2 linked regions of the Canis lupus familiaris genome follow. The protein of the gene in region 1 binds, or shares a complex with, the protein of each later gene. Links are inferred from orthologs where the notes say so. Each region holds a gene or a part of one and is shown in the gene's direction. Other genes may lie near its edges. The genes, in order: RBSN and RAB4A.

Region 1 (15,378 bases):
ACTGTGGCCCTGTGGGCAGGCACAGACCCTCCCATCCACCCTCATGATTCCATAGCCCCAGACCCCAGCTCCTTCCTGCTGTCTCACTCATTATTCCTCCCAGTGGCTGAGAGAAGGTGGATGGGAACATGAGACCCTAGTGAGCTGGAGGCAGAGCCAACCTCAGTGCTCACTCTCCCTGCTCCAAGCCCGTGCTATCTGATAGGGAGGAGGGCACATTTGGTGTCAGGCAAATCAGGATGGGTCCTGGCTCCACCACCAGCTTTTGAGCCAGGTGTCAGGTAAATCATTTCCACTCTCTGCACTCCAGGTTCCTCATCTATAAGGAGGAGGTAAATAATCATAGCTGAACCACCACTCCCCTACCTTGCAGGTAAACCATGTCAAAGCTCAGCTTTGGTCACATTATTCTCTTGCTCACAACCCTTTAGCAAGGCTCCCTGGCCCTTTATTTTTTTTTTTTTTAAGATTTTATTTATTTATTCATGATAGACATAGAGAGAGAGAGAAGCAGAGACACAGGCAGAGGGAGAAGCAGGCTCCATCCAGGGAGCCTGCTGTGAGACTCGATCCCGGGACTCCAGGATCATGCCCTGGGCCAAAGGCAGGCACTAAACCGCTGAGCCACCCAGAGATCCCCCTCCCTGGCCCTTTGTGATCTGGAAGTTGCCCCTTGAAACTGCCCTGGCTTGCTTCTCCTGCCCCCATCAGGTCACACCATACAGATTTTTCCTTCCTTAGTCCACACAATACTACACTGCCTAGAATTCTTCCTGACAAAGGGCCTGTCCTTTTGACTTGGAGAATCCCAGCTTCAGACTCAATTCAGTTCTTGCTCCTCCAGGAAGCCTTCTGTGACTTCCACACTGCATCAGGCTACTTCTCTGGGCTCACACCCGTCAGAGCTGGATGGTCCTGGCCTCAGAGTCCTGGGGTTCTATAGAACAGTGCATCTCAAAGTGTGGTCCAGCATCATCTGGAAACTTGCGAGAAATGCAAATTCTCAGCCCCACCTCCAAAACTACAAAATCAAAAATTCTGGGAGTGGGGGGCCCAGCACTTTGTGTTATAGAAAGCCCTCCAGGAGATGCAGGTGTTCACGTCTGAAAGCCCCTAGTCTAATCCAGTCCTCTGACACCATGCTAGGTTTCTGCACTTGAAACACCTTGTTACATGTCGGTCACATCCACTGTCACAGGGCCCCAACGCCAGCACCTGCCAGCGAAGGGAGAGGCCTGGGCACAGTGGCTGGCTCCCTGGGGTGCCTCCCACTAATGGAGATGTTAAGGTGAGAATTTTCCCCACCACATCCCCTTCTCCCATTTCCTGAAGACACTCACCCAATTTCAAATTGTAACTTTGTTTTATTGGCAAAGAGGAAATCTCAGCACTTGTCTCATTTACTTCTCATCAGCCTCGCTTCCATCCAATCCCGCCAGGCGGGGGCCTGCTGAGCTTGAGGATCAAACTACCGGTCATCTGCTTCTTCAGGAATATATTGTAAATTTTACATGGCTCCTTGCAGACACACCAGATGTGGCCTGGAAAAATACTTCTTTCTCTTCTCTTGCTCAGCACCCCACCAGTGTGATTCAGAAAGCCTCGAGTCCTAGAAGCCCAAATGTTTTCTAAATTAGTTTCTCCTCCCCTTAGAAAAGTTGTTTCCCTCAATCCTCCTCCCTCTACTTCTAGAATCTGGTAATCTTTCATTCTAGGAAGTTCTTGGTGTTTAACCCAACTCTTTCTTGCTGTCACTGGCTCCAAACCAGCCTGTGACATACAAAGAACAGGTATTTTTATTTTTTAAGATTTTTAAAAATTTTTATTTATTTGAGAGAGAGAGAGAGAGCACAAGAAGAAGGAGCAGAAGAGGGAGAGGGAAAAGCAGATTTTCCACTGAGCCATGACCCGGGGCTCCATCCCAGGACCCTGAGATCATGACCTGAGCTGAAGGTAGATGCTTAGCTGACTGAGCCACCCAGGTGCCCAAGAACAAGTATTTTTTAAAAAGATTTTATTTATTTATTTCACAGACAGAGAAAGCATAAGAGCGGGGAGTGGCAGGCAGAGGGAGAGGGAGAAGCAGGCTCCCCGCAGAGCAGGGAGCCTGGTGCAGGATTTGATCTCAAGACCCTGGGATCATGACTTGAGTCAAAGGCAGACGTTCAAACAACTGAGCCACCCAGGTGCCCCCAAGTTTTGCTTTTCTGAGTGGGCAGGTGTCACAGAAGCATCTAGCTCCTGGAGATTCAGACTGAGTGGGGGCAAGGTAGAGGCAGAGACAAATGAGCCCCGTGATTGCTCTTTGATGAAATGCTCCTGCCAGGAACACCAGGCTGGGGGTTCTCTTAGAGCAAAGCTTCAAAACTAATGACAAGACGGCAAAGACAGCACTTGCCTCCTCCTGCTGCCAACACACCCTGTTGCTGACTTAACATGCCTCTTCTTCCCCCCAAGCCTATCATCATTTTTAATACTTTAGATTTACTCAAGTAGTGCATCATTAAAAAAATGTAACATGCAGATATGTAGAGCAAAAATCGGAGTCTCCTTTTATAGCTCTGCACCTCTCAGCAACCCCCTAAGGAGGTGCTACGGTTCACAGTTTGGAGGTGGATGGCCCAGGGCCTCGCCAGTGAGGATGAGGAGGGAAGTAGGGGAGGTAATGAGAAGGCATGTTAAGGGCAGTGTGGCCACTGCTTCATGATAATCCTCGCAGGGTACATCCATCCCACCCAGAACCTCTCAGGATGGACCACACCAGAGGAGGAATCTGGACTTCCAGCTTCCCACATCCCATACGCAAGAGGTGGTGTTTCACATATGGAATTGGGGAGTGCTTTAAAACGTAGATTATATGATTATTCAGGTATGGTGAAGCCAACAGATGGAGAGAGGACTGCCATGGAAGAGTTTGGGGGGTGGCTGGCTGGCTCAGTGGGCTAAGTGTCTGACTCTTGATCTCAGCTCAGGTCTTAATCTCAGTGTCGTGAGTTTAAGCCCCGTGTTGGGCTCCACTAGGTGTAGCACCTGCTTAAAAAAAAAAAAAAAAAAAAGATAGTTTGTTATTCACAGCTCTCCTAAGAGGAAGGGGCATGCAAAGCCACTAAGGGCTGTGTGGTAACCCACCTCGTGTGTCAGGAGGGAGAAGAAGCAGGACGAAAACGTAGGCAGGAGACTTTATTGTGGCTTCTTTGGGAAGAAACTGGGAAGGCAGGGTAAGCTGGTTAGGATTGGCTGGTTTGAATAATTCCAGCAGACTCTGGGACACAGGAGCTCTCTCCAGCTGTCTGGGGTGGGGTGATTAGGGCAGAGGGATAGTGGCCTAAGGTATAAGAGCCCACAGACAAAGGAGGTAGTAGTGAAGTGGGGAAAAAAGGCAATAGAAAAAAAAAAATCAGGGCAGCCCCGGTGGCTCAGCCGTTTAGCACTTCCTTTGGCCCAGGGTGTGATCCTGGAGACCTGGGATCGAGTCCCACGTTGGGCTCCCTGCATGGAGCCTGCTTCTCCCTCCGCCTGTGTCTCTGCCTCTCTCTTTCTCTGTGTCTCTCATGAATAAATAAATAAAATCTTTAAAAAAATCAAATTTCCTTACTACTTACTGGTCATTGGCAAGTCACCGAATGAAACAGGCAGAATGATGTTCCTGTAAGAACTCCGCTGCCTCGTGTTAATACTTCACTAAGGGCAAAAGGCAATCTTAGCTTAACATTTTCCTGACCACCAAGATCCTGTGAGTCTTCTTTACCATATAAAGATTCCTTTGGAAGGGGGACTGGGTGGCTCAGTTGGTTAAGCATCAGACTCTTGATTTTGGCTCAGGTCATGTCAGGGTTGTGAGATCGAGCCCTGCCTCAGGCTTTGGGATCAGTGTGGAGTCTGCTTCAGATTCTTTCTCTCTGCCCCTCCCTGCTCTCTCTCTCTCTCTCTCTCTCTCTCTCTCACTTTTTCAAATAAATAATGAAATCTTTAAAAAAAAAATCCTTTGGAAGCTTCCTTTATCTCTACCTCACCAAGATATATGTTGACAATCATCTCCCAAGCTATGGGGCACTGATATACATCTGAAGGGTCTCATGCTTAGGTTTTATTGGACAGTCATAAATAATCTTTTCCTAACAACAGCTAGCAGGGGTCAGACCTGCATTATGGTCCAGTGATTCAGTTGCCTCCAGATGAAGTACTGGATGCCCGGTTACATTTATACCATCTGGTAAACAATGAATACTTCTTTAATATAAGTATGTATCAGATATATTGCCTATGAATACTTATACTAGAAAAGTATTCATTGTTCATCTGACATTTGGATTGAAATAGATGTCCTGTATTTTTGTCTACTAAATCTGGTGATCGTATTCTAGCTCCTTCCCTATTTTCCGTCACAGGTATTTTCCCTCCAAAATCTCTTTCACAACTAATGTCATATTGGTGCCTGCTTCTCAAAGAACCCCAACTAATGTGTGGTAAGAATTAAATGAGATAAAAACCAGAAAGATCCCAGAACAGTGCCTGGTCCCCAGGAAGTAAACATTTGCTCTTAGCAGATAGGCACAGTCAAGTATTACCAGCTGACTCGTGGACCGAGGCCTAACTCCCCGGTCTGTGCTCCCTCACTCCATAGCCCCCACCCCTACACTTAGTAGGTGCTCAAAACACATTTCATGAGAGATGTGTGCATATGTTTGCGTGTGGTTCTAGAAGACACCAGGATTGATGGTTGCTCCAGAGAACAAGTATGAAAGGAAGATTCACTTCTCACTACATGACCTTGCCTATTGTTTTATACCTATCAAAAAACTAAAAAAATTTTAAATTATTTTGAATTGAACTAAATCTATTGCAGTTTATAATACCTTGGAGCCTCAAATTGGGCAGGAGGCCTGAGTCAGAGGCCACAGTACTGCCTGAGGCCCCACACTGGTCTGAGAGGAACTAATTTGGAGGTTGCTAGGCCTCCCACCATCTCCTATGTTCCTGAAGGGACCTCTCCAAAGCTGAAGTTTTTTTTTTTTTTAAGATTTTTTAAAAAAAGATCTTATTTATTTATTCATGAGAGACACAGAGAAAGAGGCAGAGATGCAGGCAGAGGGAAAAGCAGGCTCCGTGCAGGGAGCCTGATGTGGGACTCCATCCAGGACCCTGGGATCATGACCTGAACCAATCACTGATCCACCCAGGTGCTCCTGGAGTTCTTTTTTATTTTACTTTATTTTTATTTTCTTTATTTTTAAAAAGATTTTATTTATCTATTGAGAGAGAGAGCATGAGCAGGAGAGAGGGACAGAGGGAGAGGGTGATGAAGCAGGCTCCCCACTGAGCAGGGAACCGGATGTGGGGCTTGATCCCAAGACCCTGGCATCATGACCTGAGCTAAAGGCAGACATTTAATCAACTGTCTGGCACCCAGGTGCCCCCCAAGGCCAAAGTTCTTCTATCAATGCCGAACAATGACTTTTGATTCTGGAAGACCCTGAGGATCTCCTCAATCATCCTATCACAGTGCTCCTGACCCACCTAAATTCTTCTTGGGAGGCAAAGAGATTGGCATAGAGGCAGGAGAGTACCTCCTACCTTCTCTCACATTTTACCTGCCAGCAAAAGAGGAGGCAGGGCTCCTGTCAGGGATTTGGAATCCCAGAAGCCCATCATTCAAAGAGCCTTAAAGGTCAGGGAGGATAGTAAAATTCTCCCCAACCTACCTGACACATATTTCTTCAGTTCATGCTTGCATACCTCCAGTGATGAGAACCTCACTCTCTCAAGAACAACTTTCCTTTTTTTTTTTTTTTAAAGATTTTATGTATTTATTCATGAGACACAACAGAGAGAGAGATGCAGAGACATAGGCAAAGGGAGAAGCAGGCTCTGTGCAGGGAACCTGATGTGGGACTCAATTCCAGGAGTCTGGGATCACACCCTGAGTCTAAGGCAGATCCTCAACAGCTGAGCCACCCAGGCATCCCAGGAACAACTTCCTAACCAGTACAGCTCTACTGGGAAGACGAGTTTGCTCTCTTAACCGAGACTCAGTACTATGTGACTGCCCCATGATGCCTGTACGGCTCCTTGCTCTGTCCTCTGGGCCTCCAGACCCTGAGACCTTGCTGCAGGGGACCCCTCAGGATGCTTCCTCCAGCTTATTGAGACTGGTGTCTTCATGGCCTTCTACTTGGCCAAGGCATACTCAGCCTGGCTCTCTTATACGGCCCGGCATCTAGGAATGGAATGGAGAGCCAATATGTCTTCAGAGAGCACCTACTGAGCCAAAACTTAGTGAAAAGATTGTTTTCTGGATCTGCCCTAGGTGAAGCCTGAGGAAACCGAAGTGTCCTACACATAGGGCAGCTGGTCTCCAGTGACTAGAACGCCAGGTGCCCCCACCCCAGCTCTGTGCCACTGCTACCTGGATAGCACTGGACATTCTCAGCTAAAGTTGGAGTGGGACACTGGCATCTCTATCTGCGACTCTTCTGTTAAGCCCATTCTTTCTCTTGAAAAATAAAAAGATTTATTTTTATTTTTTTTTAAGATTTTATTTATTTATTCATGAGAGACACAGAGAGAGGCAGAGACACAGGCAGAGGGAGAAGCAGGCTCCACGCAGGAAGTCTGACGTGGGACTTGATCACGGGTCTCCAGGATCACACCCTGGGCCAAAGACCGTGCTAACGGTGCCCCGCACACCGGGCGCTGGTGTTCCCAACCATTTCTCCACTTTCCAAGAGCAGTTCACACAGCTCGAATGCCTAAGATCGCTCTATATTTTAAGAACACAGAAACATTTGAGCATTGTATTTCTCGCATCCCTTCTCGTGAGCGCTAGACTTGTTTCTATTTTAGTCGGATTTTGTTTTGAAACTTTGCTTTCGTATGAACACTCAGCAGAAAAGTACTTACTTCTTGCCAGTTATCTATTAACAAAAAAAAAAAAAAAACACTTTGATTTGTAGTTTTAAAGATTAACCCTCCCAAGTTCTCTTCATAACTGCCTTGACATTTTGGGTTGTTCTGTTCTGTTAATTTTCTTTTGCTTTTTTGTGTTTTTTGTTTGTTTTTACTTTTGCATTTAAGACCATTAAATTTGATTTTGTTTTGCTCGAAAAACAAAAAAAACAAAAACAAAAACAAAAAATAACAAAGACCGTGCTAAACCGCTGAGCCACCCGGGCTGCCCTATTTTTTTATTTTATTTTTAAAAATATTTTGTTTATTTATTTGAGAGAGAGGAGAGAGAGAGAGAATGAGCAGGGGGAAGAGGGAGAGGGAGAAGCAGACTCCCTGGTGAGCAGGGAGCCTGATGCAGGACTCAGTCCCAGGATCCTGGGACCATGACCTAAGCCAAAGGCAGACGCTTAACCAACTGAGCCACCCAGACACCCCGAAAGATTTATTTTTAAAAGTAAAAAAAAAAAAAAAAGGAGGGGGGGCAGCCCAGGTGGCTCAGCGGTTTAGCACCACCTTCAGCCCAGAGCGTGATTCTGGAGGCCCAGGATCGAGTCCCATGTCAGCTCCCTGCATGGACCCTACTTCTCCCTCTGCCTGTGTCTCTGCCTCTCTCTCTCTGTCTCTCATGAATAAATAAATAAAAAATCTTTAAAAAAAAAAAGGTCCAAAAGATCCAGAGGTGGTAATTTTTACTAGTTTCTTGTAGGTTCCCCTAGAGATATTCTAAGCATTTTCCACATACTTATGCTGGTCTTGACTTGGGAGTTGTCCCATCGCCTTTCTTGATATGCAACCCTGGAAGGCACCCTCTATTCCCTGATCCCATGTACCCTGGGGTGACTCCTCCCTGCTCCCTCCCTCTCCTGGCTCTGCACAAAATGATTTTCTGTAGCATATGGGTTTAAATTTTAACAGTCTGGCCTTTATTTGTGTATTAAAGAAAACAGACTAGTACATCCAGTCCATTATTTCACATCTTCTTAGAATGAAGTTAAAATTTAAAAGTGAGTAGTATTCAAAGTAAGTAACAGGTGGTTTATAGAGAGGGCAAAATTGCACAGGAGGCACACAGACCACCCAGTGGACTCAAGGACTATGCCCAGAAGTGTTGCTGTCGCTTATAAAAAGTGGGTGGGGGTCAGGAAAGTGAGACCCCTGCTTAATGCCTGGAAAGAGCCCACCCAGTGGTTGGTAGATGAAGCCAGAGGCTCTAGGCCTGTGATCCTCAATCTTGCTGAGCATCAGAATCACATGGAGAATGTCAAAGACCCCGAGGTCCAGGTCTGTTCCAGATCAATGGGAAGATGTGAGACAAGTATCTGAATTCTTTAAGTACAACCAGGGACAGGTGAGTGATTCCCCAGAGCTCCCCTGAGCCTCTGCCACCTGTCTCTCCAGAAGATTGATGCTCCAGGGCCCCTGTTGGTGGGACAAGCCCGCATGCCCCCTCTGGTGGGATTTACAGGACTCAGGGTCTCAGCTAAGTTGGGGGAAATGCTGGTCGGCTTACATAAGCTCTGCTCCCGGCTTTATATTAACAGTTAGCAAAAGGAAGCTATTTAAAGCAGCGGCTGGGAGGCATGTGGGAGGCCACTGGGTCTGGCACATGGGCTCAGGACGCAGGCAGAAGATGATGCCCCAAATTCTGATCCTCAAAGTGCCACCCAGGCTAAACAAAAATAGGAGCAGAAAGCGGTGGCCAGACAGCACGGGGGCGTGCAGGAGGCTCTAATTAAAATGCTTAAGGCGCTTGGTGATATTCTTATTTCTCATCCCCATGCTCCCGTCTTCTGTTCATGAAGCTGAAGGTCATTCATAATTCATTAATTCAGCAAATAACTCCCGGGCCAGGTCCTATTCAGGGCTCTGGGGGATAATAACACAAATAATAGCTCACATGTATTGCATACTGACTTTTTAAAAAAGATTTATTTATTTACTGATGAGAGACACAGAAAGAGAGGCAGAGACACAGGCAGAGGGAGAAGCAGGTTCCTCACAGGGAGCCTGACGTTGTATTCGATCCCTGGTCTCCAGGATCACACCCTGAGCCAAAAGCAGATGCTAGACTGCTGAGCCACTCAGGCATCTCTGCATACTGACTTTGTGCCAGAGACTCTTCTAGGTACTTGGCATATAGTAACTCCCTGGATCTTCACACAATTACAGGTGAAGAAACTAATGCACGGAGGGGCTAAAGAACGTGCTCAAATTTGGGGCACCTGGGTTGCTCAGTGGTTGAGCCTTCAGCTCAGGTCTCTCATGAATAAATAAAATCTTAAAAAAAAAAAAAGAACTTGCTCAAATTCCACAAGTAGGGTGTGGCTGGTACATGATTAAGACAGGAGCAGCAACCCCCTTTAAAAGATTTTATTTATTTGACAGAGAGAGATCATGAGCAGGGGGGAGGAGCAGACTCCTCACTGAGCAGGATGGGGGGGCTCGATCCCGGGACCCTGAGATCATGACCTGAGCCAAAGGCAGATGCTTAACTGACTGAGCCACCCAGGCACCACTGAAATGAGTTCTAGAGGTTGATGAGGAGTTAGCCAGGCTCAGAGGGGTAGGAGAGAAGGGAAGGGCACTTCAGGCAGAGGGAATGGCATATGCAAAGGTGAGGAAGCAGGAAAACAGCACAGCTTATGCCAGAAGTAAAAAGCAGTCTGATACGAATGTGGGAAGGATACTCTTCCCCGCTTTAAAACTGTCTGGAAAGGACCAGGAGTGGCACCCTGCAGGAGCCTGGGAAGTGTGCCTGACATCCCGAATTCAAGGCTCTGTTTCAAGAACTAACCAGTGTGTTTCCAGGTCAAGGGAGGGGAGACCTGGGTGTTCTGTGTGTGGATCCAGGGAGGAGGGGACCCATGGGGGCAGGGCATGGCTGGCCTTTGCCCTGTTTCTCACATCAGCTTGTTCAAGAGGAAGAACTGGTTTTCCAGATAACCTGCCCCCATCTTGGGCTCTGCCCGGGAACATACCCCCAGTGAGGAAAAGGGAATGTGAGAGAGCCTTTTAGTCTGAAGGTCCTGGACTTCTGGGCTGGTTCCCTAAGCCACTTACCACCTGGGAACCTCAGCTTCCTCGTGAGTGAATTGGTGATGTTTTTGTAGGGTCATCATCATACGTAGGATAAAGCAAGGTGTCTGTGCTAGATGAAGCAAAGATGGGCATAGTCTCTATCCTTCATGGACTGAGTTATATAACTTCAAAATTTGTATGTTGCACTTCTAACCTCTGCTACCCCAGAATGTGACCATATTTGGAGATGGGTCTTTAAAGAAGTGATTAAGTTAAAATGAGGTCATTACAGGAACTCAAACCCATGCAGTGTCTTTAGGAGGAGAGGAAATTAGGATACAGACATGCACAGAGGGAAGACTGTGTGAAGACACAGAGAGGGGGAAGCCATCAGCAAGCCAAGGATGGGGTTCTCAGAGGAAATCAGTCCTGCCAGCAATTTGATCTTGGATTCCAGCCTCCAGAACTGTGAGGAAACAAAATTCTGTTGTTTAAGTCACCCAGTCTGTTTGTGATGGCAGCCTATGAATGGATACCTACCCCTTTGTGGTTCCTTCTCGAAAGAGATGGGTCCATTTCTCCATCCTTGGATCTAGGCCAGTCCTATGACTTGCTTTGGCCAACAGAAGGCTAAAAGACAGCAGAAGTGACAATGTGACAGTTCTGAGCTTTAGCCTACGGAGACCTTGCATGCTTCTGCTTGTTCTCTCTCTCTCTCTCTTTTTTTAAAGATTTTATTTATTTGTGAGAGACAACACAGAGAGAGGCAGATACACAGGCAGAGGGAGAAGCAGGCTCCCTGCAGGGAGCCCGATGCAGGACTCGATCCCAGGATCCTGGGATCACAGCCTGAGCCAAAGTCAGATGCTCAACCACTGAGCCACCCAGACATCCTTGCTTGCTCTCTTTTTGTGAACAAGCCCGAGCTGGCCTGATAGAAGCTACAAGACCCCATGGAGCAGAACTCATTTAACCCAGTCAAAGCTGTTCTAGACAAATCAATCCCCAAATATGTGAGAGAGCTCTGGCAAGATCCTCAGGGCTGCATACCTGGGCAGTGGCTGATCTCAGATGTAGGAGAGGGTCCAACCAAGACCGGAAGAACTGCCCAGCTGGTAAGTGGACTAGTGAACAAAAGCAAATGCTCATGTCACTGAGTTTAGTGGTTTGTTTTAAGCCACTGAGCTCAGGAGTGTTTGTTACACAGCAATAGTTGACTGACAGAGCTTCTGTAGCAAGGGAGCTCTCTCCCCAGACCAGCCTCTCAGCTCTCAGTCCATGTGGGCCAATGCCTGGCCAGAGGCAGCCTCTCTTTTTACAGAAGGTGCATGTGCACTATTGAGTTTGAAAGACTTCCCAGGAGTGGACACAGAGCTTTTAGAAAAAGAAGACTCTGGAGGTGAGAAGGCAGTGGGAGTATGAGAGGTTGCTCGGCGGTGGGGCCCAGCTGGATTTTAAATCTCACGTAAAAGTCATGGATTCAATAGCAAATTCTGTAGCACAGAGTTATGGAAATTACCTAACCACACAGACTGATGCAGGGGAGGGTGATTCCCCCAAGGACTGAAGATGTTACCAGTATGAAGGGGGTGTATGCCAGCCAGGAAAATGCAACAGGCGTCCGCTCAACAGTGATAATGATGATGATGTAGAGAAGAGACAAAGGTGAGGAGTGGGGGAGATTTGGCTACCCATAGAATCAGAGGGAAAAGAACCCTAAAAGTGTAGGGGAAGACTTGGCCTCTCCCAGACTCTTCTCTATTTTTTCAACACTTTTGTGGTCTTCTGCTCCTCACACGTTGACTGTGATTAGCTATGCTGGGCTGTCTAATCTGCTGATCAGAAGAGAATTGGCCAGAAACTCAGCCTTAAAGACCATTGTGACAAGTTGCATCCTCTTGATTCAGAGAGAGAGAGAGAGAGAGATGCTGAGGCCATGAGATTTCCACTGCTATCTTTTGCAATCCAGGGCATCACCCCCTTAGGGTGGGGTGCCCACAGTTGATACCTGGGGTGGTCTCTCACACCAGGCCAGCAAAGCTGGTGACTTGACAGCCTGGCAGAGGCTCAAGCCTGAGGCTTTCAGGGAGTGTAGACCTCATCTAAGAAAGTCTCTAAGGCAGAAAAGGCCAGCTGTGTGCTTCTCCACCATGGCATGCAACACTGGGATGTAGCTGCCCAGCCTGGCCCCACATTACCCTGCCCTCATTGCAGCTGGGAGGGGACATGTGACGGGTTCTTGTCAATGAAGGTGCAAGAGAATGATGCTGCTTCTGGGTCAGGTGGTTGAGAAGTGGGTGTATTTTTCCATTCTTTGTTCTTTCATCTCTTGGCTGGACACGAGCTCCAGGGTGACCTTAGAAGCCAGACATTGAAGCCATGGCTTGATTGTCTTCAGTCTCCAAAGGAATGAATGACTGACAAGAGAGAGTTCTTCTTCACCTCCTTCTTCCCCCACTGGCCCCACTGATCAGAAAAACTTGCACTGGCCATTACAAGTTGTTATGGCACCAAAATCCTGCAGTTGGTTTGTTAGCAACTAGCATTACCTTCCCTAGTATGGGATCCATGGCTTCACAGGAATAATGACAACAGCTGACCTTTACTGACTGTACACTTATTGACTGTACACTGTACATCAGAAACCACATGACTTGTGTTAGACATACAATCTCAGTCCTCACCACAGCTCGAGGAGGTGTGGGGTCCTCTCACCCCCATTTTACAGACATGGAAATGGTGGCTGAGAGAGACTCAGCCACCTGCCCAAGATACACATTTGTGCACTGAGTCCTTCAACAAACATTTACTGAGGGCCTTTATGGACCAGCATAGTTTGAGGCTGGGGATACAGTAGTAAATGAGACAAAATTCCCAGCCTCCTGCAGCCTTCATCCCAGGAGGAGGAAGGTGATCAGTCAACTCTGGCACGTATTCCTAAGTGAGAAAGAAAACAAATGCAAAGTAGCGACACAGAAGTAAAGGAGTAAGGATGCTGGTGAATAGCCAGGACCAGGGGGTGGGGAGTGAGGCCCCCAGAGTGCAAAAATGCGGCCAGTACTTGCACGGTCCTGGAAGTGAGTGCCCCCTTAAATTCTGCACCCTGGGCACCTCACTTGCCTCTCCTGGTCCCAGCTCTGGCCTGGGATGTGCTATTTTGATAGTGGGGTCAGAGAAGAGGTGACATGCGTGCAGAGATGAGGGAGAAAAGACATTTAAGAATCTGGGAGAAGAGTATTCCAGGCACAGGACCAGCAAACGCAGATGCCAAGAGGTGGAGCCTCTGCTTGAGAGCAGGAGCCCAAGGAGGCCATCGTGAATGCATCCCTGGGGTAGGGGATGGTGGCAAGAGATGAATCTGCAGAGCACTGTAGGCCAGGTCGTGTAGGGCCCTGTGGACCATTGTGAAGACTTTGGAGGGAGCCTTGGGAGGGTGCTGAGCAGAGGAGGGACATGACTTTGTTCCAGTAGGACCTTCCATCTGTATGAGATGCAGAGTCTGTAGGTGTTCGTGGGGTGATGGCAGAGGCAAAGGCATCAGGGAGGAGGCTGCTGCAGTCATCCAGGTGAGAGATGCCTGGGTGGTGGCAAAGTGGGCAGAAGTGGGCATATTCCAGATCCATTTCAGAGCAAAACCCAACAGGATTTGCTGATGGATTAGAAGTGGAGTGTGAAAGAAAGAGAGAAGTCAAAAATGATCCCAGGGCTTTTGACTGGAGCACCTGGCTGAATGGAGGCACTGTTCACTGTAATGAAAGGGCTGTTAAAAGAGTAGGTTTGAGCTGGGGTCCCCGAAAGGAAAGAACTGAAGAGCTCTGTTGAAGGCAGAAGGCCAGTCCAGAACATGGCTGTGTGTGGGGCCATCTGAGTTCCGCACTGTCCTCAAATGCTCAGTCCAGCCCCTGCAAGAGAAAGGGGCCTTAATTCAGCAGTGCAGGAGCTGGATGGGGGGACTGACTCTCCCACCCCACAGTGCTGGGGTCTTCACCCTCTTCTGCCCGACAGGAGGAGGGAGCCTCGGAAGACAATAGGACCCAGTAGAGCCGGGACGCCTGGGTGGCTCAGTGGTTGAGCGCCTGCCTTAAGCTCAGAGTGTGATCCTGAGGTCCCAGGATCGAGTCCCGCATTGGGCTCCCCGCAGGGAGCCTGCTTCTCCCTCTGCCTGTGTCTCTGCCTCTCTCTCTCCCTCTGTGTCTCTCATGAATAAATAAATGAAATCTTTAGGGGAAAAAAATAAAGGAATCCGTAGAACCATCCAGGAGTGGACAATCTGAGCTGTGTGCACGGCTGTCGCTTGGTCCTATGGCGCCCCCCGGTGGCTGCATCAGCTCCTCACAGCCCCCTGCTCCGCTTACTGCAGAGCCCTCCACCTCCAGCTCCCCTTCCCAGAGGCACCTACTGTTGGAATTTGTGCTTCCTTTCTGAGACTTGATATGAATCCTTGCAGCTGATACTTGTCAACCGTTCAGTTCGTGCCAAGCACACTTGGCGTTTTTGCCATCTGCATCTCTTCTCAGTACAGAAGCCAGAGGTCAGATCCTGTCCCTCCCCTACTCCAAACCTTTCCCTGGCCCCCACCTCACTCAGAGTAAAGGCCCAAGTCCCTGCAGTAGCCATGACCTGCCCTCTCCCCTTGAGCTCTCGGAACTAATTCCTCTAAGTCTCTCCCTGGCCCTCTCTGTCCCAGCTCTGTTGGCATTACTTTTTTTTAATTGTGGCAAAATACACATAATGTTTATCATTTTAACCATTCATAAGGGTACAATTCACTGGCATTAAATACATTCACAATGTAGTGTAGCTAGCACCACTATCTATACCCAAAACCTTTCCATCACTCCCAATAAAAATTCCATACCCATGAAACAGCAACTTCCAGCCACCACTCCCCCCACCCCTGGTAACATCTGTTTGACTTTCCATCTCTACAAACTTGCTTATTCTAGAGATCTCATATAAATGGAACCATACTGTACTTGTCTTTCTGCATCTGGCTCATTTCACTGAGCATAACAGAAGAGGTCCATCCATCTTGTCACAAATACCAAAATTTCATTCCTTTTTTATGACTGAATGTTATTCCATTGTATGGACAGAACACGTTTTGTTTATCCATTTATCTGTTGATGAACACCTGGGTTGTTCCCATCTTTTGGCTGTTGTGACTAGTGCTGCTAGGAACACGGGGGTTGGCCTCATTACTTTTTCTTCAATCTGCCACACACATCCCTGTCTTGGGGACTTTGAACTGGCTGTTTCCTCTGCATGGAATGGCTCATTCCTCACTGGCCTCAGGTCTTTGTTCAAATGGTGCCTTCTTTAGGACACCTGCTCTGATCACCCTACTAGATACTCTGATCCGACACTCCCCATCTTCTCTACTCTGTGCTTTTTTTCCAATAGCACTTATTA
Region 2 (15,378 bases), on another chromosome or scaffold:
TGGAAGTGATTCTACTCACTCCTGATGGGATCATCATGAGCTAATGCACAATTAGCGCTGGTTCCTTTTCCTGTCCAAGTGACGGTGGGAGTGCGTGTGCCTATGAGACTTGGGTCAACCTGGGTGCTGAGTGCTCACAATGGAGCCAGCATGAGTGGGGCAGGTGGGTCTGAGTGAGAGATGAACTTCACTGTGTTAGTTACAGGCATGTTGGGAGATCTTTTTCACTGCAGATAACTTAGCCCATCCTGACTAAACATTCCCTAGCAGACGTGTCCGATTACAGAGGTGTAGTTTTGGATGGCCTTAGAAGGCAGACTGGTCCACTGGCCTCTGAGGTCTCTTCCAACCTGAAGAGTTGTGTGTCACAGGTATTTAACAAGGTCACCTTTTCAAGCCTCTACCTACCTGGGTAGAACTTGGCTCCTTCTCAAAGTAACACCTAGATATTTCTGAGTCCTCAAGGACTCAGACACAAATTGGCTTAGGTTCTTCAACTCTAGCCACCAAGTAAAGTCACCATGCCTCACAGACTGTTGTGCTCTCTACCAAGTTTAGCTCTGCCAAGGATGCCATGTCTTTTCATTCCCAGTGCCACTGCTTTCTCTTTCTAGGCCTTTTTAGAACTCCCTTCCAAGGGACTGGATCACCTTTCTGGGTCCAACCCTATGCATAGGCGTCTGAAAGGCTCTTCAGTCATTGTTATATGCCCACTGTCTCTACAGAGAGACCACTGTCCCAACCCATGTGGTCCTCTCTACCAGTCCTGGGGAACAGAAATTGTTGTGAGGCTGGCAGCCCCCTGAAGTTCCTAATCAGTCATTAAATGTGAAGCACTGCCAGGGAGGAGAGAGAGTACCAGCTACTTGCAGGACCCACTGTCCTGAGGAAGAGTGGATAGGAAGAGTAGATCTATTTTGGAAGAAATCTTTCTCCCTTCATTTCCTGTAGACAAATCTTCAATGTGCTTAGGCTTTTGGAAATCTACTTTTACTCTATCACAAACCTCCTCTAAAAAGAAAGGAGAAAATAACTGGAGAAAACACTAATTTTGCAGTAAGCTTTCTTTTCACACAATCAACAGCACCTCAGAATGAAAGTGGTCTCTGAGGGTTTTTAGAAGAAATTTATTTATTTATTTTTTTATTTTTTATTTATGATAGTCACAGAGAGAGAGAGAGAGAGAGAGAGAGAGAGAGGGGCAGAGACACAGGCAGAGGGAGAAGCAGGCTCCATGCACCGGGAGCCCGACGTGGGATTCGATCCCGGGTCTCCAGGATCGCGCCCTGGGCCAAAGGCAGGCGCCAAACCGCTGCGCCACCCAGGGATCCCCAGAAATTTATTTTCTCTCAAAGATGCAAAGTTACTAGGATGCGAAGGACCTTTCACATTATTATTCAAAAAACAGTTCCTTCAAATCTCAGCTTGAGTATTTCCTTTTCAGTTGGCGATATCTGGCTTTTATTTGCAAATGAAATGACTTCTTTGGGTAATTTTTCCAAAACAAATAGTTTTCCTCAAAGGTCTAAGTCTCTTCATGGTCCACAGAATAGAAAACTGTTCTCAACTTTGAAATAGCAGCTTAATTTTTATTTCTATCACTCTGTCCAGATTTCAGAGATCTTGAGGTCCGGTTTCAGTCAATAACCCAAGCAATCACTGTAATCCAGTGATTCCTTTCTTACCCACAGAAGGTTCTGGCAGGAAGAAAACTTAGATCTAAAGAATGGCATCCCTGTCTTTCTTCTGAAATAGCTTCCATCAGGTTAGCCTGCTATACTCAGTAGGGTAAATCAAAACTAACAGGCAGAAAACCAAATAAGACGGCAACAAAGTATCTCAGCCATTGAACAAGAAATATATACAAAATAATTCTAGGAAATTATCATTTTCACAATATTTCAGCATGGGACCTTCTCTGTGATTTAGAAGCCAGGATGTGTTTATTTGCTATTAGGATCAGAAAGAAGAACAAAATGTAGAGCCAAATGGCCATTGGGGAAGAGGGGAAAGGCCTCAGTGAAATCTGATGCCAATTTATATGGAGGATGGAGCCAAATGGACTTGAAAAAAAAATGTATTTACTAGCATTTCCCATAGTCCAAGTTACTTAGGAGCTTAGCCAAGGCATATTTTTAGTATTCTACTATATCTTTTGAATGAAGTTGGGTCTTATGATGTGGCCCGGATCATGCTTAGATAGAGCAAACTCCCAAGCAAAATTCTCTTCGTAATATATGTTTATCTCTGCATGTCCAGCAGAAGGGGATTCTGAATTCAGTTTTGCCCCTTAAATCAAAACTCCTAACGTTAGTTGAGAACCAAGAGATGCTTCCTGCCCGTAAGCCAGACTCCCCTACAGTGGGAGGCAGAGGGGCCACCCTAGGGTGTTCCACAAGCGCTCCTTAAGCTGCGGACGGTTTTCCGCAGACACCAGCCTAGCCCTACAGGAGAGGCCCGGGAGGTGCGGGCGAAAGCTCAGTTTCCACCGCAGGCAAGCCAGGCTCCTGGCCCACCGGGCTGGTCTCTAGCAGGACAGCTGGGGCTACAGCCTCCGGGTTATACATTAACCTCCTGCCCGGGCGATCAGGACAGCTTAGAAGTCTCTTCCGGCCTTCGAACTGCTACGGACGACGACGAGGCCGGCTGCGGAGAGCCACCCGGGCGGGGCCGTCTTCCCACCGCAGGCGCTCTGCCGCCCCTGCCCAGGAGCTGGATCTCGGCGTCCCCTACGCTCCGTCACCCCACGCCTGCCGACCGCAGGGCCCTCCTCTGCCACTCGACTTTGGCCAGCTGCGCCCCTCCAGCCGCGCCCGCATCCAGCCCCGCGCCCCGAGGCCCCCGCCCCCGCCCCCGCCCCCGCCAGGCCTTCGGGATCCGAGGACCCGCCGCGAGCTGCGCGCGCACGCGCTACCCTGGCGGGGGCCGGGCCTCACCCCCTCTCCTCCTCCTCCTCCTCCTCCTCCTCCTCCTCCTCCTCCTCCTCCTCCTCCTCCTCGCGGTCGGCGCCCGGCCCGGCGGGGGGCGGGGGCGGGGGCGGGGGCGGAGGCCGTGCGCCTGCGCGGAGCCGGCAGTCCGGCAGGGCCGCAGCCGCGGGGTGGCCGGCGGTTGCCGTGGGGACGGCGGGCCCCTCCCTGCTCCGGTCCCCCGCCCCGAGCCAATCCCGCCGAGGCGCCGAGGACGACCCCGGCCCTCCCCTCCCGCCCGCGGGGCCGGAGCTGCAGCCGGTGACCCGGCGAGAGGCGGTGCCGCTCCCAAGATGTCGCAGACGGCCATGTCCGAAACCTACGGTACGAGGCCGGCGGGGCGCGGGGGGCGCGGGGGGCGCGGGGGGCGCGGGGGGCGCGGGGCCGGGGGCGCGGCGGGGGCCGGGGGCGCCGGCCGGGCGGTGTGGAGCCCACTTACGTGAGCTGCTTTTTCAAGTTTTCTCCTGTTTTTCCCCGCGCTCACACCAGGAGGGTTTTCCCTTTCCTGGTCCAGTTTCATTAGCTCAGGGTTTGGGAAGCCAGTTCAGGACTTTGCTCTGCGATGTTGTCCCCAACGAGGGATGGGAAGGACTTAGGGCGACGCCTGCATTCCTGTGTGTTCCTCGAATATTCCAGCTTGACCTTTCCTGGTTTGGAATTCCTTTCTTTGCCCTGGGATTACAATGAGAAGTAATCAATAGACTAATCCATGTCTTCCTGCGGAGACCTCTTGCCTCCTTTATTTCTGTTTCTCAATCTCTCGGGCTTTTAGTCCTTTCTGGGTTGCATTATGGCTATTTATAAATGTGCCTTTTTAAAACCATAAACACCCTGGAAGCAGAGCTCTGTTTAATCTTTGCTTCCCCTGAAGCACCCACCCCTAGAGGGGTCTCCACAGATAATTTTTCGAGTAATCGAAAGCCTTTCCAATTCATAGACTGTTTTTGGGTTTGTGGTGTTTTAGCCCTGCGAGGTAAAAAAATAAATAATATCGTACATGTCTACTTTGCCAGGCTTGAGATGTTTACCAGTCACTAATCACTTGTTCAGATGTGTGCATTCTCAGATTAACCCTTAGATTGGGAGTTTTACAATCCCAGGGAGAGGTTCAAGTTCAAAAGTATGTACCTGAACTTAGATCACTTGTGCTGGCCTGCTGCTCTGGCAACATAGGTGGAAGGGCCTGATGGAGCAGGCAGGGTGCTGGGAGGCGCTGTCAGTGCTGCAGGCGACACAACAGGCGTGGTTCTGGTCTCATGGAGCATGCAGTCTAGTGGAGGATACAGAGCTAATGCCATCGTGGTACTACAGAATGAGTAGTTAAAGCTCCAGGCTGGAGTTCTGAAGGAGTGTGCTCTAGGAAAGTATGTTGGAAGGAAACCTGGCTCAGACTGGGGAACCCAGGAGGTAGTTAGTAGCTGGTCAGCATAGCAGAACAGCAGATGCCCAGGCCTGGATGGGAGAGAGGTGGAGTTCCAACAAGGGGAGCCTAAACAGTGGAGCAGGGGTGAGGGTGTGGTGGAGAGGGCCTTTGGCAGGTTTCCACCTTTCTCCTCAGAGGTATGAGGTCACAGCACATTTGCTTCACCTTCAGCCCCTCCTATGACTTGTGTTTGCCCCATTCTTGGGGCTACTTGGGGCATTACATCTATTCCTAGAAGGCTTGGGAAATCCTCCAGGAAGTCCATGGTGCTTTAAGTGTTGTCAGAGCTGCAAATGGTCCTGTGCATCCACGTGGTCTGCTTCTCCCTTTAGATAACCACGGAGATTTTGTGAAGAAAATACATTTCTCTAGCAATTTTTTGGCTGTACTTTTGCTTTTCTTTATTTTCAAGTGCTCCTTACCCCGTACGCTTTATTTCTTGAACCTGGATAAGTAGCATTAGATAGGGGTGAAAAGTCAAAATAAAACCAAATGGGGATAATGAGTTAGTAAGGAAGGACTTGAGTTTTCATTTGTCTAGTATGAAATAGCCTTGATAAAATACTGCATATCTCTGCTTCACTTTAGACACAGTTAATTGAACTTTTGAGCATCACAGATTAACTGATTAAATGATGATCAAAAGGCTTTCACCAATAGTATTCTAATGTCATGATACTTCCCAAATATGTTTTTGCTGTTTTTACTCACAATCTCATCTTTTCTCTAGTAGAGGCAATTAGAGAAAACTAATGGAATAGAAAATTCGTTTTTGAAACAGCAAAAGTAGCAGTTGAAATTGTGAACCTAAAACAAGAATCAACCAAAAGTCCTAAACTGTCACCTTCATTTATCATTGACTGTATTTGCATAGCATTGTTCCCCAAAAGTAAAACAATCAGGTTCCGGCTTCCAGACATTTGCCTCTTTGATAGCTAGTAAAGGAATGTGTGCCTAACCTTTAAACTCCTTCATGCTCTACGCTCATTTTTCTCCTCCAGAAAAGAAGTCTCTGTGTAGCTTGACAGGGATAGGATGAAAAATAAAGAGCCAGTGCTTACACAGAGTACCACTAATTAGCTACATCTACCTGCTTTTTAGCATATTAAGGCAATGTTTCACCTTCCAGAGACTGAGTAGTTTTTAACATTTTGCTGCCCTGAAACCAATACCACATACTGTATATAATATATACTGTGCATGTAATATACCACATACTGTATATAATATTGAATACTGTATATAACATTGTAATACAAAGTTGAAATTTTAAACAGGTTTCAGATTGAAACCCTGGATTTTAATATCTCTAAACTGAAACAGTGTTTCCTAAATATTGTTAGATTTACAGCATTCTTAAAGCCTTGACCAGTTAGTATGGCTTATAACTTCCTGAGGAACTCCAACCATCCAAGACTTGGGAAGTCAGAAATCGGCTGTAAGTAATGCCTAACACCAAGACTTGTGAGACAGAATTAACAAACTGAATAGGTAGTACCAAGCAGTAATGATCAGAAAGGAGCTAAAAAGTAAGTGGTGCCTGAAATGCCAGAAAAAAAATAATAAGGAGTAAAGCAGTCTACCACTGAGGAAACATCTAAGATAAATCTCTACACTTTGGAGTTCATGGTTTCTATAGTAAATACAGTTTGTGAAACAGAAACATTACAAATTCTTAGTCTTATGCTGATTTTTATTACAATATAGTCTTACTATTTTTATTTTGTGCCTTACTTTGTTTTTGTTTTTTTAAGATTTTATTTATTCATGAGAGAGAGAGAGAGAGAGAGAGGCAGAGACACAGGCAGAGGGAGAAGCAGGCTCCATGCAGGGAGCCTGACGTGGGACTCGATCCCAGGTCTCCAGGACCATGCCCCGGGCTGAAGGTGGCGCTAAACCGCTGAGCCACCCGGGCTGCCCTTGTGCCTTACTTTGAAAGCACAGTATTAAAATATTTACCACCTAATTTGGAGAATTATCAAGATATCTTCTTTTAAAAATATATCATTATAGACTGTTGTTGGTTGAATTGTATCTCCCAAAAGGCATATTTAGGTCCTAACCCCAAGGACCTGTGAATGTGACCTTATTTGGAAATAGACGTAATGTAATCAGGTCAAGACAGGTCCTATTGGATAAGGGTAAGCCCTAATCCAGTGACTGATATTCTTATAAAATGAGAGAAATCTGCATAGATAATGCAGAGAGAATGGGATACAAAGATGCAGGCTGAGATTGGAGTGATGTATCTACAAGCCAAGAATCACCAAGAATCTCCGGCAACCACCAGAAGCTAGAAAGAGGCAAGGAAGGATCCTTTCCTGGAGCCTCTGGGAAAGCATGGCCCTACTGACCTCTGATTTTGGACTTTTAGCCTCTAGAACTGTTAGACAATAAATTTCTCTACTTTTATACCATCCAGTCTGTGGTATTTTGTTATGGCAGCCCCAAAAAACTAATACATAGGCTTTGGTAGTTAGAATACGATTCATAGAGAAATTGGGGCTTATTAGGAGAGGTAGAGTTAGGAGGTTATTTCAGGCAAAGGAAATAACATCTCTAAAGTTATGTGGTACCAATAAAGTATAAAATAACTTACTGTTAGAGAAATCACCAAGATAACCGTTACCTTGTTAATTTCTTGAAAGAGGGGCATCTGGGTGGCTCAGTTGGTTAAGCGTCTGCTTTTGGCCTGGGTCATGATCCCAGGGTCCTGGGATCAAGCCCCACATTGGGCTCCCTCCTCATCAGGGAATTTGCTTCTTTCTGTGTGTGTGTGTGTGTGTGTGTGTGTGTATGCTTTCTGTCTGTGTGCTCTCTTTCTCAAATAAAATCTTTAAAAAAAATTTTGTAGTGCTCTCTCAAATAAAATCTTTAAAAAAATTTTAGTAAAAGACAGGGCATGTAAACAAGGTTAATGAAGGAAGCATATAACATCAGGATAAAGGACATTTCTATAAATTGAATACATTTATTATGTTTAATGTTTGTATTTTTCTTTTTCTCATTTGCTGAAAATTGGTGAACATTTTAAGAACCAGAGTTTGGGGAACACTACACCAATGGGTCTGGAACTGATGGGCCTCTGAGCCCCCTGGTGTGTGAAGGTGTGGGTTCTGATACAGTAGATGTGGAATGGATGGAGGTTCCACACCTGATCAGCTCCCAGGCCAGACAGGTACTGTTTGTTGGTTCAGGGCCCTATACTGTACAATGGCTCCAATACCATAGACTTTTGAAAACATTGTTCTTTAGAAAAGTAAAAGTTTGTGATAATTTTTCATGGTCATTTAAACTATAAAGCATTTCAGTCCTTACCTATGAATGTCTCACTCCTAAACCTTTATTTCCAGTCACATTCACTCAGGTTTAATATCTTATATTAAACTCTGTACCTAACTATTCCATTTGGATGGCCTGGGGTATCCTAACACAATGTGTCCCAGACCCAACTGATTACCTACTACTCCCCAACCTTCTATTTGTCTGATGTATCCATTTGCCTAAGGAGAAAGTTAGTCCAGTTTTAATTCTTCATCATCCTGTCTCCTGAGTCCAGTTGGTTTCTGTCTTTTTAAACTGACCCCTTAACATAGTTCAAGCTACCATTTACCCTAGAAGAGACAAGGGAAGATGACGTTGGGGTCAGATTAGTGGATTATAAGGAAAAAAAAACCATCATCCCAAGGTTCTTCATCACAGTGACTTGAGCAGCGATGCTAGTTGCTACCACTCGTGGCATGGCAGCCATGTAACTGCTTAAGCAGCATCAATAGTTGGCATGAACTCACTGGGCAAGGATGGACTTGGTGGTTTCTGGTAGGGGTGTGTTGGAAGGGGTCTTGGTCAAATTTATTTGGGGACCCAGACTATTGGTAACATGTGCCACAGCTTCATAGGAATATCATAATGATTTAAGTAAATGGTTGTGCTCCTTGAAAGATGATTATGTGTCAGCATAAATGTGCACTTTACTTCTAATAATAATAATAATGGTAAGGTCTCCTTTGTTAAGGACCATATCGCCAATGTTTTTTGAAAAGTAACTTGCACTTTGGGCCCTTTGTATGAACTAGCTATTATAGAATTCTTTTGTAAGGTTCAATACTATAGTGGTCACTTGTACCTGTATATAAGCAAGCTAGTGTGTTGATGTTCTTTGCTCTGAATATTTCTTTGGAATAAGAAGAAAGCTGATATTTCTTGAATTTCTTCTCATAAACCATCCCCTAGAGATTGGTTAGACTGCTGTCATGGATTTTTTTTTCCCCCATTCCTGAAAACCCCATTAGGATACATGCCAGTGAAACTAGTTTGAGGGAAAACCTTTGAATCCTCTGTGTTCTGTAATGCTTGTCTCTGTCCCTGCTTCTCTATCAGTCTCATCTTGATAAAGGACTACGCTCTATATGTTTGAAAAATACATTTTTTTTTTGCTTCTCTGTAGCTGTATGATTTAAAAGCTAAAATGACATGTAAGGTATGGATAAAGTAAGACAAGTGTAATGAATGGCACTATAACACATAAATGAAATAAGCACTGTATAGCTACAGATTTTCTTCCTTTGTAATCCCCCTCAAAGCTTTCCAAACCAAAATAAGTTTATATTGAAGAGATTTGACCAACAGAAATGAATCCCATAATGATGGCTGTGATACCTGGAGAAAGAATGCTTTGTGGCTCTGCCCTATGCTACTCAGAATGGTAAACTCTTGTATGGCAATACTTAGTTACATCAGTCTTTTGTTTCTGTTTCTCTTATGTGCTGTGTCTTTTGCATTTTAGTCTTCAAAGCAGCTAACAATATTTAGATATGGAGCTAGGGTACACTATTCATAAAATGCTAATAAATTATGAATGAGTGGATGTATTGTAGAGGTTTGTAATTTTTCAAATATGAAATTTTAATCATGCAGAAAAAATTGGGAACTTAAAAACAAAGTATTTTTCTCTCTTGTGTTATAATTTAAAATATTATATGTAGTGTGCTCCCTTAGTTTTAATACCATTTTTCTTGTTCATTAGCTTCTGATTATTATTATAGGAGTCCTCATAAAATGAGTACTACATCTTTGCCCTGCCTGTGGGGACTTTGCATATTTTATTTTAAGTTTTATTTTTAACTCTCTACACCCGGTGTGGGCCTTGAACCCACAACCCTGAGATCAGGAGTCACATGCTTTACTGACTGAGCCAGCCAGACACCTAGGGACTTTACATATCTATTTTATAATTTGGTCAAATCTCAGTTATGACAAAGAACATTTTTCTTTCAAGATGAGACCATAAGCCCTTTAAAAGCAGTGGACTGCTAGGGTGACATTCTGTCCCTGGTGCTGTGAATGGTTTCTGGACACAGCCTCAGGGACTGCTGAAAGCACTGTTGATTCCATTTGAGGGTGGTGTTTTTCTTCTAAGTTACAGAATATGAAACGAAAGGCCAGGTTAATAGAAAACCCCACTTTAAGGCATAGTTTTCTTTATGGTAGAAGTCAATTTTTACATTGTGGGTAGTGTAATTGCAGCTCTAATTAAAACCTCTTCCACAGATCACATTTGCTTGAATTAAAGAGGTCACACAATACATCCTTTAGGAAATAGATTTTCCTTCTGAGACTTCGATTCCTAAATCAGTTCACAGTGCATGGGAGCAGAGACTTGTGGAGGTACTTTCACTGCTTTCTGGAGTTGAAGGGCCTGACTGCTGCCCACTTAAATGTACCTAAGGAGAGAACATGGTGATCAAGTGGAAGTTGGTCAACTATGGAAGTAAATAAGCTTTGAAGGCAGGTGTATCCATCAAGCACTTTGGGGGAGGAGACTGGCACCCTACGCAGTAGCCAGGGGGCTTTTAGGGGCCAAAGTAACCCTATTGTGGTGGCCGATGTATCAGATGATTTGAATCTGTGGTCACTAAACATTCAAATGTCTGGCATTTGATAGTTACCAAGTAAACAGTGGTTAAATGAACTCCCGTTGTTCTAAGTCCCTCTTACTTAACAACCTCCTCTTTGTAAATTGATTTTATGTGACTAAGAATAAATGAATTTTTAAAATTAACAGAATTTCTGTTTAATAGATGATTAGTTCTTTGGTCATTTTATCAGGTAGAATGCTTCCGGCTGCAAGTGGCAGAAAACCCAACTCAAAATGCTATAGGTAATATGAAAAGAGTTTTTTTCCAAATAACTATAGATGAGGAGGTTTCAGGGTTGGCGATTCAGAAGCTCAGCTGTGTCAGCTAGGACCTAAATGCTTCCCATCTCTCTCCTCCAGCTGGCACTGTTGGTCTCATCCCCCTCAGAGTCATAAAATGACTACTCTTTGTAATCAGGGTGTGCTTTCTTACAATATCCATGGGGAAAAAAGGAGTTCTTCCCTGCATTTATGGAGTCAAAGTCCTTCCTCTCCATCTGGGTGGGCCATGTTGGGTCAAGAGCCTGACCCTGGACCAATTATGTGGCCAGGGTAATACTTCGCACTGTGTAGCTTAAGTTTGTATGTATTTCTGATCAAGTCTCTGGCTCAGAATGACCATAATTGGCTTAAATAACCAAAGTCTGTCTCCAGTTTTGGGGTCATGTCTACCTGTTACTTTGGCTTCTTGGGGAGTAGCTGTTAGGCAGAATATTTACTACAACAGTGCCTACTACAGTCTCCAAAAAATGTAAGCTACAATTCAGTTTCAATCATTTGTTCCAGGCAGTGATCTTCCTGAAGATGATGGACTTAAATGTTCTTCAAGGCCTTTGCTTCTCCAGTGAGGAAGTAGTGAGAGAAAGCAGCACAGTAGGAGAGAGAGCATGGTGTCTGTCTATGTCGGCCATACGCACACACATTAGAATCCCTTGTCTTCTTAGAAAAATTGAAATTTCTCTTGTCATTTTGCAAACACGGTAACTTACACTTGTCTTTAGTTCTTATTGTTTGGTGAATGTGCTAAAAATACTTGGTGTTTTGAAGACTGACATTCCTTTTCTTTTTTTTTTTTAAGATTTTATTTATTCTTGATAGAAAGAGAGAGTCAGAGACACAGACAGATGGAGAAGCAGGCTCCATGCTGGGAGCCTGACATGGGACTCGATCCTGGATCTCCAGGATCACACCCCGGGCCAAAGGCAGGCGCTAAACCGCTGAGCCACCGAGGCTGTCCCTGACATTCCTTTTCAGAGTCACTGTGACCATGGTAATACTTTGGGAGCAAATGGAACTTGGCTATTTGGTGCCCATTGCTATTTTTCCACTTCTCATATATTAGCACCTTGAGTAACTTGTCATAAATATGTACATAACATAGGATACTACACCTTTATAAGAATAAAGTCCATATTGATATTAAGGTGTCTTTTGTTATTATGCAAATAAGATCCTTTAATGTTTACAACTATAAAAGCATTATGAATTAGAGTATTTCCTCTGGTGTGTATTATATAATAACAAAGTTCATTTTCCCTATTACATTTTCCCAAGAACGGTATTATTTCTAGCTATTGCATGACTAAAGAAGTTTGTTGGGTGTGTACTGGTTGAAGATTCTTCTGGTATTAAGCTATTGTTCTGTTTCCATGATTATACTGGGAAATTTTTCCTCATTGGTGTCCCAAGGCTGAATGCTAACTCTTACTCTAGATAAAGGGTGAAGTTAGAATAGTGTACACAGAGTACTTTGTGTCCAGTGTCTCGGATCCTCACTGGGGCCCTCTTCTGGGTGAGGAAACAGAGGTTTGGTACTCTGCCTCAAGTCCCAAAACTGGGAGATGGAGAGCCAGAATTTGGAATCAGCTTTGCCTTGCATCACATTCTCAAGGGCAGTCAGGTTTTTAACTCTGCTTCTCTGTCTTATACAGAAATCTCCTCCATAAAACCTCGGGTCAGTGGTGACCCAGAAGAAACATTCCCACTGGATGTCATTACTCTAGCGCATGTTCTAGACAACCAAAATCTGTCTCCAGTTTTGGAGTCATGTCTATGGGACATTTAATATGAGTCAAAATCTTTCTCTGAACTCAGCATAAAGGGGGAGAGTAGCAGGGACCAAAGCTCATACCTCCCAAACTAATGCGGAAGACCTTTAACATTTACAAGGGATGCTTTCACAGATCTGTGTAATCTCTAAAATTTCAAATACTGTAGTATTTAAGTCTGGCTCAGAGTCAGACAGTTCAGAAAGACAGTATTTTGTATATGTATTCTCAAACAATCAACCGTTCAACTTCTCTCTTTGAATTACACTAGTTATAGTGTTCTCGGAAACATTTCACAAACGACTTGTCCTTCTTAATATAATTTTATTCTCTTGTATCAAAATCAAATGGGACATCCTACTCTTTGAAGTATCCAAAACTTGTTGCACACTTAAGGGTGATTGTTTTTATTAGGTCTCTTTGTGTGCACTGCCCTGGCCACTGACTTCTTTTTTTGGACAGTTTTCCACTTTAGGAGAATTACTTCTTTTTTGTATGTGATTATATCATGTAGAAAGCAACTGAGAACTTGCAGTTTCGAGGGCGGGTGTCTAGCTAGACTCACTCACCTGCAAACTACTTGTGTCCACACACCTGACCCATAGTAGGTTTGATCCAGGTGAGCTCTTCAGCAAAATCACAGATTCTATCCCAGACCTTGAGCAGTCATCAGAGTCTGTGCTGCAAATGTGAAATCCACAGATGTCACAGATCCTCTCTGCTGGCATTTCATCGAGGCTCGGGCAGGCCAATGGAGTCCTAGAGTTAGGCCTTATTGTCTTTCCCACCTGCCTTTCCTCATTTTACCTGCCCTCCACAGATCACATGTTCTTCCGCTGCCCAAACCGTCTCCCTCTCCTAGGCCCTCTCCTAGGCCAACATGTCACCAAGCTCTTTGAAGCTTAATTCCTCTCTGACCAGTGTACCAGAACATTTTTTTTTTCTTTGAAGTGTTTGCCGTCTTATGTTCTGAGCTCTGTGAGCTCCTTCTCATTGCTGGTTACTTGCTGATCTGGGGGTTATTCCTTATTCTACACGTTCACCTGGCATAGGATCTTACCCTCTGCTCCAGCTCCTCCCTGCTCCTGGGTGACTACTGTATCCATGCAGAGAAGCCAGTCAGCAGCTTAGTGTCTGGTTCCTAACTTCATCTCTAGGCACCTTCTCTTCTGCCCCTACCCGAGGTACTTACTTCCCTGGCTGGTCAAATGTCCCATTCTGCTCACTCCCACCCAGTCTTCACTAGAACTGGAGCCTCCTGGGCACCACCCCCCACCTTCTGTCAGGTGATGAGCTGCTCCCTCTCCAGAGAGGAGGACACCATCAGCCTTTCCTTCCACCTCTTCCTTCTTCGTCCTTCAGCTGTATGTGCTTTGCAAATTCCCATCCCTGGCTTCCCAACCTGTCTTGCCTGCTGCTGTACAGACAGAGCTCTTTCCATTAAGTTCGCTATGGATTTATGGTCTGCCCTCAAGGGACACTCAGTAGTGCTTAGCTATCCTCTCTCTTATCCTGGTCATCCTGCCCTTTCGCTCCATCTGCTGTTTTAAGCCATCACTAATCTGTTCAAGCCCATTTTCTCATGTCCAGCATGAGAGGAAAGAAGAACATGCTCTCTCTGCTGAGGAAACTACCTCTCTTCCCCTTCCCTTCTCCAGCCTGTGAAGTTACTTACCTCCACACTCAGCCTTGATCCTTCTCTTAGGGTGTTGGAGGAAAAGAGGCCTCTCTTCTTCTAAGACCAGTCCCTGCCTTCCTCTTTGGACCTCATCCCTCAAGTTTTCAGACTTAACCACCAACCATCCTTTCTTTTGCTCCTGGTAACTTCCATTTTGTTTGCCTTACACTCTAATTCCCCTGAACACTCCACCACTTCTTTCCATTACAGCCAAGCTTCTTGTAAGGATTGTCAGTACTTTTTATCTGTAGCATCCTGCTTCTTAAATCTTCAGCTGGCTGATTTTGCTGTCACATCAGGCGAGGATGAATTCACACCACATTCTTCTGCAAGGAAATGAAACATGGAAGGAATCCTGCAGTCAAGGCCACCCACCTTTGCCTCCTATCTGACCTTTGGAAATCTTAAAAGCCAGGCCACTGTTCATGGGAGAAACTAGGATGGCAAAGGCCATCTTGTCTACTCACTATGACCTAATCTTCTGGAAGATTCAAGGTCGTCGTTGATAACCAATTGCTGAACAACTTTACTGTGCTATTCAGGTCCCTTTCTGGCTTGTTTCCTGGTCAGTAGTTGCCTTTGCTGTCAGCATTTGATTGTCATTGTACCCGTAGCTTACAGTTCTAAGTACATGCTTCTCATCTGCTATGGTCTGGGGAGTTAGACGTTCCTTGAAATGAATGTAAAGACAAATCAGTAAGTTCCAAATGAATGAGGTTTCTCCTGTAGACTTAATCTTTTGGCTGTGTTAGCTGTTTCATTTAGCTTGGAGCCCATTTGTTCCTGCTCTGTATTTTGCCTGTGTTCCTGAATGGTTAACTTTTAAGTAGAAACTGATTTCTATTTATTTGATACTTTTCCTATTATCTCATTTAAATTTCTCATGAAAAATTAAAAGCACATTAGTAGCATATATTCATTTTAGATTTTGTATTTTGGGATATGGTCTTTCCCCACCTTCAAGCTTAATTCATGCTGAGGAAACCCTCATCAGGTGAATGCAGTCATCATAAATTGGATGCAAAATACCTGTATAATGAAACCACACTAAATCTGATATAAGTATACATAATTATTTAACTAGTTTGCATTAGGTTATCTTCTTATACACTTATACAATCTAGTTTTCTTGCCTTACTCTGTAATATGGTTATTTACCTGCTTCCAAACCCTTTCATAGCTGTTAAGCACTGTACATTTGACATATGAAACATATGCTTTATATCTGATGTATGTCATTCAACTTCAAGCAAGGAAAGAGAAAAAGAAAATAAAGCCCACAGATTATAAAAAACAAAGTCAGTCAGTAGAATCAACACACATGCTACCATACCCACAGCGATGGG

The links.
Region 2: the proteins of RBSN (region 1) and RAB4A are in contact, whole or in part, in a crystal structure (PDB 1Z0K), measured with the Homo sapiens proteins. The link is inferred for Canis lupus familiaris from reciprocal best matches to the Homo sapiens genes RBSN and RAB4A. Residues at the interface, in NP_001289307.1 of Homo sapiens: Glu441, Gly442, Trp443, Leu444, Pro445, Ser447, Glu454, Pro458, Leu459, Gln461, Gln462, Asn465, Ile466, Phe469, Asp480, Glu481, Thr484, Leu485, Asn488, Leu492, Glu495, Gln499; in NP_004569.2 of Homo sapiens: Tyr10, Leu30, His31, Ile34, Glu35, Ile46, Gly47, Val48, Glu49, Phe50, Gly51, Ser52, Lys53, Lys63, Gln65, Trp67, Arg74, Phe75, Ser77, Val78, Ser81, Tyr82.

Annotation. Positions count from the first base shown.
Region 1 is NC_049241.1:5,264,201-5,279,578, reverse strand, and holds the start of RBSN (rabenosyn-5), read left to right. Parts: upstream 1-7,996; 5' UTR 7,997-8,296; intron 8,297-15,378. UniProt on the Homo sapiens protein: Rab4/Rab5 effector protein acting in early endocytic membrane fusion and membrane trafficking of recycling endosomes. Required for endosome fusion either homotypically or with clathrin coated vesicles.
Region 2 is NC_049225.1:10,355,561-10,370,938, reverse strand, and holds the start of RAB4A (ras-related protein Rab-4A), read left to right. Parts: upstream 1-5,747; 5' UTR 5,748-5,766; coding exon 5,767-5,827; intron 5,828-11,092; exon of another isoform or gene 11,093-11,286; intron 11,287-15,378. UniProt on the Homo sapiens protein: The small GTPases Rab are key regulators of intracellular membrane trafficking, from the formation of transport vesicles to their fusion with membranes.